Xenopus tropicalis: one gene and its partners. The protein of the gene in region 1 purifies or fractionates together with the protein of each later gene. This does not show direct contact. Links are inferred from orthologs where the notes say so. Each region holds a gene or a part of one and is shown in the gene's direction. Other genes may lie near its edges. The genes, in order: chuk, map3k7 and pias1.

Region 1 (4,052 bases):
ATCATCTATAGATACCAACCAAACTGGTGGTTACACTTCTCTACTAACCTTATCTCTCATTCCCATCTCATATTTATTTAGAGAAGCTTCCCCTCATTTAGTATAGCAGAACTTACTGAGTGCTACTGAATACCCTATGCTACATCTCTCATCTTGCTGACTTCTGATCTTGCCCATTCCCACACCTTGATCTTGCCCATTCCCACACCTTGATCTTGTCCATTCCCACACCTTGATCTTGCCCATTCCCACACCTTGATCTTGCCCATTCCCACACCTTGATCTTGCCCATTCCCACACCTTGATATTGCCCATTCCCACACCTTGATCTTGCCCATTCCCATACTTTGATCTTGCCCATTCCCACACCTTGATCTTGACCATTCCCACACCTTGATCTTTCCCATTCCCACACCTTGATCTTGCCCATTCCCACACCTTGATCTTGCCCATTCCCACACTTTGATCTTGCCCATTCCCACACCTTGATCTTTCCCATTCCCACACCTTGATCTTGCCCATTCCCACACTTTGATCTTGCCCATTCCCACACTTTGATCTTGCCCATTCCCACACCTTGATCTTGCCCATTCCCACACCTTGATCTTGTCCATTCCCACACCTTGATCTTGCCCATTCCCACACTTTGATCTTTCCAATTCCCACACCTTGATCTTGCCCATTCCCACACCTTGATCTTGACCATTCCCACACCTTGATCTTTCCCATTCCCACACCTTGATCTTGCCCATTCCCACACCTTGATCTTGCCCATTCCCACAACTTGATGTTGCCCATTCCCACACCTTGATCTTGCCCATTCCCACAACTTGATGTTGCCCATTCCCACAACCCTTTCTTCTTTTAAATTGGAAGCTCTTTTGGGCAGGGCCCTCTTCACCTCTTGTATCGGTTATTGGTTGCTTTGTATGTAAGTCTGTATGCCCAATGTATTGTACAGCGCTGCGGAATATGTTGGCGCTTTATACATATAAGTTAATAATTATAATCTAATTTATTCCTTTTATTTAGACAATCTAATGTGATATTTGGATCCTTTACATATAAATACCATTAGAGGGTGCTAAAGGTACAAAGGACTCCTGTGAGGAAGCCAGGAGAGCTGTGAGTGGCGAGGCTAGAGGTGAGCATTAGGACCCAGCAGGCACCTGGAGGAAAGTCACATGGGCGGAAGTGAAGCAAAATAGTGAATCAAAGAGGGACTGAGGAAGAGTAAAACAACAACACAGGACACTTCCCTACTCCAAGTAAGTTGTGTAAATGCATGTGGGGGTGAATTTACACTATGGGCTGTGTGTGATTTTGTTTTAGAGGGAGCACAAGTGGCGGAACAGAACTTGTTATACCCCCCTGCCCTTAGTCTCTGGCTCATCCAGACGTCTGTGTGTCACGTATAAATGGAACGAGTTCCTTCAGAACTGTAAACATGACAAAACTCGCCATCATGCAATTCTGCCTTATTGAATAGGTGACTAGTGGTTTAAAGGACGTCAATTCAAAAAAAGAATTCTATGGGGGGGTTTAGGGCCCACCGGGGCTACCACCCCAGGGGCCCCACACCCCCAAGGTGCTCTTCCAGCTGCGCCCCCCCTAACCCCACGCAGGGGCCCCGCCACCTGCCTGACATCCTCCCCTGAATGTGTGTAAGTGAAATGCGTCAGGGGAGGACACCGGCGGCCGGGGGAGCGGTAACAGGCAGGGTCAGACTGGGCCGCCGGGACACCGGGAAAAATCCCGGTGGGCCCCGGCCCTAGAGGGCCCCAGCGGCCCAGTCCGACCTTTGCCAGCGCTCCCCCTACTGACTGTTCCTCCCCGACGCGTTCAATTTATATGCGCTCTCGGAGGACATCAGGCGGGGGCCCTGCGGGGGGGGTTAGGGGGGCCCCTGGGGGGGGGTTAGGGGACACGGCTGGGGCACCTGCAGGGCCCCTGGGTAACAGGGATTGGGTCTGGGCCGCTGGAGCCCACCGGGTTTTTTCCTGGGAATCCCATTCCGACCCTGATTCTTTGCCTAATAAGCGAAGACATAATTCTAAGCAACTTCACAATATACATTCATACAAATTTGTATATATTATTGCTGTTAAAACAATGTGTTACATTAATAGTGTTACATTGTTTTGATGCAATATAACACAAGCCAGCTGACTGTGCAACATTGAGTCTAGGAAGGTTTTTAAACAGGAGTTAAGCAAATGCAAACCCTAAAAACATTCATTTTTAGGCTTTAGTTCTCCTTTAAAGCACTACAATTATTAAATAAATTTATATTGAAAAGTTAGCAAAATTTCATTTTTTTTGGTTGACTTTTAAAGGGGTTAAATGGATTTGGGTAACTGAGTTCAGAGTACAGGTATCAGACCCCTTATCTGGAAACCCATTACCCAGAAAGTTCCGAATTACGGAAAGGCCATCTCCCATAGACTCCATTGTATTCCTTTTTCTCTGTAGTAATAACAGTACCTGTACTTGATCCCAACTAAGATATAATTACCCCTTATTGGGGGCAGAACAGCCCTATTGGGTTTATTTAATGGTTAAATGATTCCCTTTTCTCTGTAATAATAAAACAGTACCTGTACTTGATCCCAACTAAGATATAATTACCCCTTATTGGGGGCAGAACAGCCCTATTGGGTTTATTTAATGGTTAAATGATTCCCTTTTCTCTGTAATAATAAAACAGTACCTGTACTTGATCCCAACTAAGATATAATTACCCCTTATTGGGGGCAGAACAGCCCTATTGGGTTTATTTAATGGTTAAATGATTCCCTTTTCTCTGTAATAATAAAACAGTAGCTGTACTTGATCCCAACTAAGATATAATTAATCCTTATTGGGGGCAAAACAATCCTATTGGGTTTAATTACTGTTTAAATAATTTTTTTTAGTAGACTTAAGGTAGGAGATCCATATTAAGGAATGACCCCTTATCCGGAAAACCCCAGGTCCTGAGCATTCTGGAATGTATAGTATGCAGTGCATTCTAGCCTGCTCCAAAATGGTTGTTGGCATGAAATGAGGCACCATAATGGGCATCCTAGCAATTAAGCCTTTTATATATGTGTAAATATAGTAACAGTGGTGTCCAAGAGGTTAAATGATTTGAGCCAGGCTGTATGCTATGCAGGGCATCCCTGCCTGTCAATCTATACTTTGATATCTGGGACACAATTATCAAAGTATAGATTGACAGGCAGGGATGCCCTGCATAGCATACATCTTATTTCAGCCTGGCTCAAACTGCGGCATAGAGGCGGGGCAGGCAATATATGATTGACAGCTCAGATTTTTAAATATATTTATAACGGGTATGAATGATTTATTTTAAAAAAAGGGTTGGGTTTCATGTTTAATTTTGAAAGAACTTTTATTATACAGCTTTTTATGACTGGGTGACAGGTCCCCTTTAAAACACAAGTTACTAGTATAAACAGGCAAAATATCCATACTCCCCACCTAAATGCCACTTTTCATTCCCAAAACCATTCCAGGTTGAAAAGATATGAATATAATGCAGGTCATCCCTGTCTGTGCATATACATTGAAATCAGTGGGCCAAAGTCATTTAACCCTTTAAATCATTAGTTATTCATCGGACCATATTAGAAACTAATGCCACTTTTCCTGCACAGAACTGTTACAGGCAAGGGTAGAACAAGATACATAGTATGTGGGGGATCCCTGCCTGCCAATCTACCTGTGGCCCAAGGTCATTTAACCTTTTCAACCAGCCCATTACTTATTCAGAAAGCCAGAATTGCAAAGATGCCCACTTTGGAGCCACTTATCCTTTCCAGAATCCTTTCGGGCCAGGCCAGAACAGGGTGAATACAATATGAGGAATCACTGCCTGAAAATAGTTTTAAATCAGCAGCCCAAAGGCATTAAACACCCTCAGCACCCCTGTTACTTATTCAAATCGGCATATCTTGGGCCAGGCTGGAAAGTGGTGCATACAATGCACCCTGCCTGCAAATATATAGGTTTATAGCAGTAGCTCAAACTTATTTAACCCCTTTAGCACA
Region 2 (4,198 bases), on another chromosome or scaffold:
GAAAGAGATACAGTGTGAGCAGCCATATTGTGTGTTAGACTTGAAAGAATAAAAGTCTGCTGGGCTGCCAGGAAGGAATCAGTCCTCTGTGGTATCTCTAGTGTGTGTCCCCTGCTGTGAACAGGTATTGTTCGTTTGCCTGCTACGTGGGAGCAGCCACCTTTATAAAGGGAAGGTACTCTGGGGCAGGTAGCGCTACCTGGGGGGACTAAAGAGCTCTTGGGGAAGGGACTGAACTAACCTAAGGGTTGTGGTTTATCCGGATCCAAGTGGGGATTGGGCATCTATAGAGACTGTCGGTGCCAGCTGTGGATAAACTACATGGGTTCCTCAGAGCAGGAAAATCAGTTGTACATAAAGTGTTAACTTCCAACTCCAACAGTTATATAAAGTTTAACATTTCTGCCAAACCTGTGTGTGATTATTTCCTAGTGGAAATCCCCTAGAGGTGTGTTCCTCAGTGTCCACTAGGTGGAGGCACTGCGCTGTTCCCAGTTCCCAGTATCAATATTCTTTGAGAACACACATCTCCTGAAAATACAGCCATATATAAGTGAATGTGCCAAGAAAGGGTTACACATACATACCTGTTCTCACCAGGGGACACACACGGAGATTCCACAGAGGACTTTGTAATCCCTGGCAGCCCTGCAGACTCTTCTTTTTTCAGTCTCAACTCACAACATGTGGTACGGGCTGCTCACTCTATATCTCTCCTCCAAAAACTGGCAAAACACCTTTATCAACTGCTGCCCCCCCCTTGATTTTTGGCTCCAAACTGGGGCATCCAGCCAGCACTTGCCTGAGGCTGGAGATCTCCCTATAAAGTTAAAGGGAAAACCCAGCTTCTGCACAATTGTGTCAGATTTGTGACAAAATGTGCATACAGTTGTGGGAATTTTGTCACATCAAATGTAGTTGTGTAGGCGCAATAGTGATTGCAATTCAGTGGAAAAGGCTGCATTGTGGGGAAAAAATGCACTCAGAATTCCACTTTGTTTACTGCACTTGCCTATAAGAGTATATTTCTATACTTTCACTATTGGTTATAAATTAAGAGCAGGCACTGAGAAATGATTTCTGGAAGTTTTAAAAACCTAACAACACTTCCAGAGACAATTTATTTCGGAGGGCAGATAGTACCGTCATATAAGACAGCAAAACGTAAACAAAACAGCAGAGCAAAAAAAAAAAAGACTATATTGTAGAAAGAATTTTCATTTTGTCATGTCAATAAAGTTGTATAAAAAAACTATCTTTCCGAACACGCCTCACTTTGCTTCTGTGCAAGACGACATCACGAAGCCCCGCCCTGCTTTCGCCGCCGCTCTGCATTAGGCCTGCGCTTCTTCGCCTCTACCTGTATGGTCGGATCGGAAGTTGGCCAGCGCATCAGCGGCTACAGTAGTAGCAAGAGAGCCCTCCCCTCTTCCACCACAGGCCCTGGCTCCAAGCAGGCTAGGCCCAGCAGCCCAGAAGGGGGTTACCTGGTCCTTGATGGGCCGGGGCCGCCCGTCACGTACAAGTATTACGGTGGCTCCTGTTAAACCCGCTCTGTTTTCCCCAGCTGTGTACCCCGGCTTCCGCCGGTGGGGTCCCCGATTTCTCTTGTAAGGGCACGGCATGTCTGCCGCCTCTGCTGACATGATTGAGACTCCACCGGTGCTAAACTTTGAGGAGATCGACTACAAGGAGATAGAGGTGGAAGAGGTGAGCCTGCGGGGTGACACGGGCAAATGGGCTAAAGGCAGATCTCCAACCTGCAGCTTTTCATTAACATATAACTTCTAGCAGTTGCTGCCAGTAGTTGCACTTTACTGACCGCAGGTTGGACTTTCCCCGCTTATTGTTTGTAAATATTTAGTCCTATTCATTCTTTGCCAGAGAAAGTTCTATGGAGACAAATCTAGTAGTAAAGACACCCTTAAAGGGGAAGTTCACTTGTAAAGCAGCTATTAGGTTTTTCCTGGCTGGCCTATTCTCGGCAACTATTCAATTGATTATTTCTAATTTATATGTTTTATGGTTTTTTTTAATGATTCCCCCTCCTATCATTGCCATTTTACATGTTGCAATTTGAAAATGTCAGTTTTTTGGGGGACACTGTCCCTCCCCCAATTATATAGCTGATACTTGTCTTTGGCTTGTCTTTGTTTAGAGTTTCTTTCCTTTTCATCTTTCTGACTTTCCAACCACTGCCTGGTTCAAGGTAAACATTCTAAGTTGGATAGCTGCAGAGCAAAATGTGAAATAATTAAAAAAAAACAAAAAAACAAAAGAAATAACTAAAGAACAGTAGCAAACTGTCATAACATTCAGGTGAATTGCTTCTTGAAAGACTGCGTTTGTCCCAGACAACATATCTGTACATTTGCCGCTGATATGAGGCATCAGAGGTGACAGGTAGCCCATCCATTTTTTGTATGATTTATTTCATATATTTCCCAATGGCTTGCACATTCCATGCATCTCCATAGTGGTACAAACTTTGCTTGGAAACCTCTTTTTCTATTGGTTTCATCTGTAATATTAATGCGATAGCAAAACAGATTAATTCATAGTTTGTCAAAGAATTTTGTTTTTAAATTATCAGAAAACACAATGAAAAGACACTTGTGAAGCACCAGTTTTATGTAGTTGTTTTTATTCTTACCGCTGATGCATGTGTTTGAAGTATGACCATATTTATAGCCAAAAATATTGGGTAGGCATGTTTTCTGGTTGTAGTCACATGGGTGTCGTGCCGTACTCATGGTGATTCCTGTTGAATGTAAAGGGGAAGTGATGTTCCTCTAAATTATGTTAATTTACCCCAAATCTTGTCACATTAGTCTTATTGACGTTTTGCTTTTGTGTATATGCCATTTTCAAGCAAAGGCCAATTGGATATTCTTACGGTGGCCATGCACGAGTAGATTTTAGCTGCAGATTCGGGTCCTTTAGAATGATTCAGCAGCTTATCTGCCCATGTATGGGCACGCCTGCCAGGCCTACCTGACTACATCGTCAGATCCGCCACACACCCATCAGAGCTGAAACAGCAGATAAGGAGGAAGAAACAATAGGATTTCTACCTCCTTCTGCCGATTCAGCCCTGACGGCAGATTTTGGTCAGGCGCCTTCTATGGCGCCCGATCAAATTTTTTTAACCGGTCCGATCGGCGAGTCGACCGATATTAGCAGTTTCCTGCGATATTGGTCGACTCGCCGACATGCCATACACGCACTGAATATAGTACGAAAAGAGGTTTCGTACGATAGTATCGGTGCGTGTATGGCCAGCTTTAGATCTGCCCTAAAATTAACCAGATCTTGGTCAGATAGGTTTGATTTTATGACTTATAAGGGACTGCATCATTTGGTCCAAACTTGCCCACCTAACGAGAAGATCCACTCGTTTGGCGAACTCTCCAAACAAGCAGATCTTAAAGTGTGTGGCTGCCTCAACTCAACATTGTGAAAGTTCATCAATCTGGAATCGGTGAAGGATTGTTGTCTGATCCAAATTCCCTTGTACAGGAACATGCAGTATATTTTCCTGTAGAACCATGGGACTTGATAGCATAGGTTAGGTTTAATGAAACCATCAGGGTGAAGACAGACAGAGAAACTAGTCGCTGCGATTTTAAAAATCCAGTCTAGGTGACTTATTGGCCGCCACAAAAGTCTTGGATTTCTTACTGTTGCATGCTATTATGATATCTACTGGGAGCTGATATCTTGCTCCCTTCCCATTGTTCTGCTGATTGACTGCTGTGGGAGATTAATATCGCTCCAACTTGCAGTGCAGCAGTAAAGTGTGATTGAAGTTTTTCAGAGCACAGGTGACATGGCTGTGGCACCCTGGGAAATGAAGGATATGGCTAGCCCCATGTGAAATTTCAAAATTAAATATAAAAATCTGTGTATTTGAAAAATGGATTTTAATGCAGGATTCTGCTTCTCTCTGGAGAAGCTCCATTAACTCATGTGTTTTGGAAAAAAAAACATGGTTTTCCATGACAGTATCCCTTTTAAGGTGCATTTTGCTGGCAGTGCCTCTTCTCATTCTATGTACTGTTAGGGCAAAGACACACGGAGCTGCTTAGTAGCAGCTACTTGCGACGGCTAGAAAACTCCAGAAAATACCCTGCCACAGACAAAACTTGAGAATTGCCTCTACACATGTAGAGACAATTACCAGTAAATGATCAGCATT
Region 3 (4,290 bases), on another chromosome or scaffold:
ATTTGTTTTCTTTTGGTATGCTGCCACCATTAATGTAGATATGGTCTTTAAAGCCCTTGTGATAACATGGGTGTGGTTTAAAAAAGGGAGTGGTCAAAATTTGCTTCCAATATCGGCCCTCCACCATGTAGGCCAAAAAAATTCCAGCCCTCAGTACCACGGAAGTTGGATAGCACTGACCTAACAAACATCCACAGGTTCAGCCTGCTTTGATTCATTGTGTGTAATTTAATAAGATATATAGGAACCTGGAATAGACACAGGGCTTGAGGAGGGTAGTGTTGTGCCTACACATGCAAATGACTGTAGTGGATCACACCTTAATGCATGTGCAGTGTAGCGGTACAATAAAAAGTACCTAGGTCCAGTGCATTTTTTAGAGAAGAAGAACACTGGCCATGGGGTCCTAGGTTAGAGTTACTGGTGGGTGACCAGTTTTTTTACCCCCCAGTCAGTTTGGCTTTCTTGTCTTTCAAGGCTTGGGGCACACTGGCATATTGTCTGCTGTTGCAGAAGTGTTTGATCATTTCCATTTGTCTTGTCTATAGCAGAGACAGACAGATTTTGTCTAGAAACAATTTTCTGGTCAAGCTCTGCCTGCAACCAGCAGTTCCATTCAATATCTATGAACTGAGTGACGGGCAGAATGGTCACAATCTAACCAGTGAGGAATAAACCCCTGTGCCATAGGCCAATTGGTGTGTCTGGGCAAGCCGACAAGCCACACAGGCTCCAGCTTGTACAGTGTATATATCTAACAACAATAGCTATTAGTGGGAGGAAGGACTACCAGAGAGGTAATAGAGGCACTTGGACACAATTAATGTGTGTCACCAATTGTGACAATGAGCAATGAGTGGCTTTTTTGGTGCTTCTACTGAGGCAAAATCTAGCAACACACCTTCTCCCAGGAGGCACCTATGTTAAAGAACTGTAAGCAATGATGGACAAAATTTTTTAATACGTCAGCCTTCAAGTTAAAATAAGACAAAAATGTCTCACTTTTGCTTTGGAGGACTCGTATTGTGTAAACTCCCTAAACGCGATGCTTGGGCCTGATACAGGAACACAGGATGGGGTATATTAATCATGTTATGCAAAAAGTGGAGTGATGCATTACCTGTGATGTTGCCCAGGGCAACCAATCAGCTATTAGATTTCAAGTTTCAAGAACACCAAAGCAAAACATCTCAATGGCTGCTATGAGCAACATCACCAGTAATGATTCACTCCACTTTTTACACAGCATGATAAATATAAGTATAGTCTATTCCACCAATCTACCTAGCCTTTGTGTTACCGACAGCACTTAGGCTAGCTATAGGACCGCAACACTTTCCCCGCAAAAAGAGGGGCTAATGTGAGCCGCACCGTATCCCCTCTTCTTCCCCACCCGAATGCAGCACCGCTCTTATACAACTCGCAGCTTATGCAATTGGCGCCTTTTTTCGAATCCTGCGTAGTGACGCAACGAGTCGCGTCCGAGCCACGTCGCGGCGGGTTCATTACGCCTGCGCGCAAAGCAGCAAGATGGCGGACAGTGCGGAACTGAAGGTAAAGCGCAGCTGGAATTGCGGGACCGGGATTGCGGTCTCCGCTATGTATTGGCAATTGGGAGGTCGGGTGTGTTGAAGCGAATGGCCGGGGGAACTCGCAGAAGCGGCTCCCGGAAGCAGAGGGAGTTATGTTGCATGTGTAAGGCAGAGGGGCCCTTGTTATTGTTGGTGCTGCCCGGGTGGAGGGGGCTGGTGAGGGCATGTTGGTTAGGCTGGTAGGAGGGCGAGGGTCCTGATGCACACACGGAGCGAGGGAATGTGAGCGGCGGCAGCCCGGGCAGGGCGCACGGTAGGGGCTGCTGGGAGCTCTCCCAAGGGATGAGTGAGAGGAAGATGCTCCTACTTGGTACTTGGTCTCTTTAATAAGCGATGTTGCGCGTCTCCTGTTGCTGCCCGACCCCCCAATCCATCACTACTGACAAGCGGCTGTCAGGGGATGTGCGATACTTTAATGAAAGGAAGTTTCTGCGCCGTGTGGACTTTATTCCGCTTCATTCGGGGATCTGTCGGCTCCAGGATACTTTATCGCACACAGTCCTGCCCGCTAAGCCCGGCGTAATGACGGGGGGGGGGGGGCTGTCAGGGTTGCCAAGCAACAGTTCTCATTTAATAACATTTCTCGGGGATGGATTCCTATCTTGTGCTGACAAATAAGCAGCGTTTATTCGGGATCTTAAAAACGTTTGGCTTGATGTTCACTTTGCAGAGTCCCGGGTTGAGCTGCTTGTTTCGGCTGATTCATACAGAGATCTGGGGTGCGTGTGAGGTGCTTCTATTTCTTATAAAATTGCTGTTTATTTTACGTTTATTTTACATGTCCCTATCTCCTGTCACCATGCTCAGGGATCCTCTGTGCCTGCTACCCTTCCGCTAACTCCCCTCCCCCACTCGCCTCCCCTCCCCCACCCTTCCTCTGCATGGCCCTGTCTCTCTCCCCAGACATCATGTTGCTCTGCTGATTGATAGGAAGTGATAGTACCTGGTGGGCTTGCATCCCTTGTAGAGCTGATAGAGGGGCTTCACAGAATGCTTTCTCCTCCAAGTTTCCCCTCTATGCATTGGGCACCGCTTGCAGCAAACTTTCTTCCTGCTGTACCATCTTCTCTTAACTGGGAGCCTGTGTGCTGTCTGATAAACACACAGATGTGCTGTACCGTAACTTGCATCTCTCAAAAATCCACTGTATTGGGATTCGGCTGATCCCCCAAATATTTCATGAAAGAATACTAAACCGAATCCTAACTTGCCTATGAAAATGAAGGCACAGAAGGTGTAAAAACAACCGCACGTGGTGAAAAATGTTCAACTTCAGCTTTTATATGGTGAAAAGTCACATAATTTGAAGGATTTGTTTTAGCCAGGCCCACAGATTCGGCTCAATCTTGAAGAAAAAGCCGGAATCTTGGCCGAATCTGGAACCAAATCCTGGATTCTGTGCATCCCTAGTCTGAGGCAAGGAGTTGTCATTTTATTGACTTTGGTATATCAAGGCTATGCATTAGTACTGTTGTACTATAGTAAGTGCTTAAGAATAGCCTGTTGCACCTGTATATATTCAGTGTACTTTGTAATTTTAATTGTGTAATTCATATATTTATACATTGTAATGTATGCATTTTAGATTGTGAGATATTGTAAGATATAACAGGCAGAGCCTTCTTTACCTAATGAATCAGTCAGTAATTGTGTGATTAATGTGTATACCCTCTCCAGACAGGAGTGAGCTGCATTGAAGCACACAGACCCACAGTATAATCCAATTGCTGGCCTGTCAGGCTGCTTTGATACTATGAATCAGTGGGCAAATTTGGCAGGCTATGTTCTGCTCTGTATCTGAAAGCCTGACAGGCTAAAGCTGAGCAAAGAATGGGGTTTGTTTACACAGAAGGCTTTCCAGTGGTGTGCTGACTTGTTTTGATTGTGCATGTAGGTATCAGGAATTAGAACACGCTTTTCATTTTTAAATTTTGCCCTGTGTAGCGTAGGAATATAAGATGATGGTATTTGCTGCCCCTTTTGAATGCATGGCTAGTTTTTATACTTTTCTCTGCAATTTAAGATGGCCATGATGACATTGAGGTGGACAATATCAGGCTGATAGCTTGGCCCTCGGCCCAACAATTGGGTCATAATTGTCACCATGTAGGCAGTCGAATAGAGGACCCAGTCAACCCACAGATGTGGCCTTCAATCCTATGGGGAAATCAAACCTACCTGATTGACATATTGCCTGATTTTTGTCCAGATATCGGTTGAGTAGGCCCTGTCGTGGGGACCCCATACATGGGTGGATAAGCTGCTTATCCTGCTTGTCTGCTAAATTGGTGGGCATTAACTGGCATGATTCTACCATTTGAGGACACGATGTATGCTGCAATGTTTGGTCTGACCAAGCTAATAACTTTCATTAACCTCTATAGCTGTGCATGGAAAGCTCGCATACAAGTAATTATGTGCAAGTACTAAGTAGGGCCTGATTCTGACTGCAGTTCTGCCTCTGAAACAATAACATGACTAATATACTGGTGCTTATAAACAATCTGACATAAGTAGATGAATATATGCAGGAGGACTTAGGTATTGTTGTTCTAAACATTAAGAAATGCCTTGTGCATACTTGAGGAATTAGTTACAATGAGGAAATGAAGCATGGGCATAGTGACTATTCATCAGATGCTCATGGCACTAACATCATATTGTAATTATATGTTGGTAGTCCATTATGTATGCTGAT

What was found.
Region 2: the proteins of chuk (region 1) and map3k7 purify together in Homo sapiens (affinity purification with western blotting; 9 studies listed by BioGRID and IntAct, with this or other methods). This does not show direct contact. The link is inferred for Xenopus tropicalis from reciprocal best matches to the Homo sapiens genes CHUK and MAP3K7.
Region 3: the proteins of chuk (region 1) and pias1 purify together in Homo sapiens (affinity purification with western blotting; 3 studies listed by BioGRID). This does not show direct contact. The link is inferred for Xenopus tropicalis from reciprocal best matches to the Homo sapiens genes CHUK and PIAS1.

The regions. Positions count from the first base shown.
Region 1 is NC_030683.2:110,589,894-110,593,945, reverse strand, and holds the start of chuk (inhibitor of nuclear factor kappa-B kinase subunit alpha), read left to right. Parts: upstream 1-1,229; 5' UTR 1,230-1,268; intron 1,269-4,052.
Region 2 is NC_030681.2:84,978,593-84,982,790, forward strand, and holds the start of map3k7 (mitogen-activated protein kinase kinase kinase 7), read left to right. Parts: upstream 1-1,395; 5' UTR 1,396-1,623; coding exon 1,624-1,710; intron 1,711-4,198. UniProt on the Homo sapiens protein: Serine/threonine kinase which acts as an essential component of the MAP kinase signal transduction pathway. Plays an important role in the cascades of cellular responses evoked by changes in the environment.
Region 3 is NC_030679.2:117,659,248-117,663,537, forward strand, and holds the start of pias1 (E3 SUMO-protein ligase PIAS1), read left to right. Parts: upstream 1-1,451; 5' UTR 1,452-1,530; coding exon 1,531-1,554; intron 1,555-1,577; exon of another isoform or gene 1,578-1,695; intron 1,696-2,170; exon of another isoform or gene 2,171-2,311; intron 2,312-4,290. UniProt on the Homo sapiens protein: Functions as an E3-type small ubiquitin-like modifier (SUMO) ligase, stabilizing the interaction between UBE2I and the substrate, and as a SUMO-tethering factor. Catalyzes sumoylation of various proteins, such as CEBPB, MRE11, MTA1, PTK2 and PML.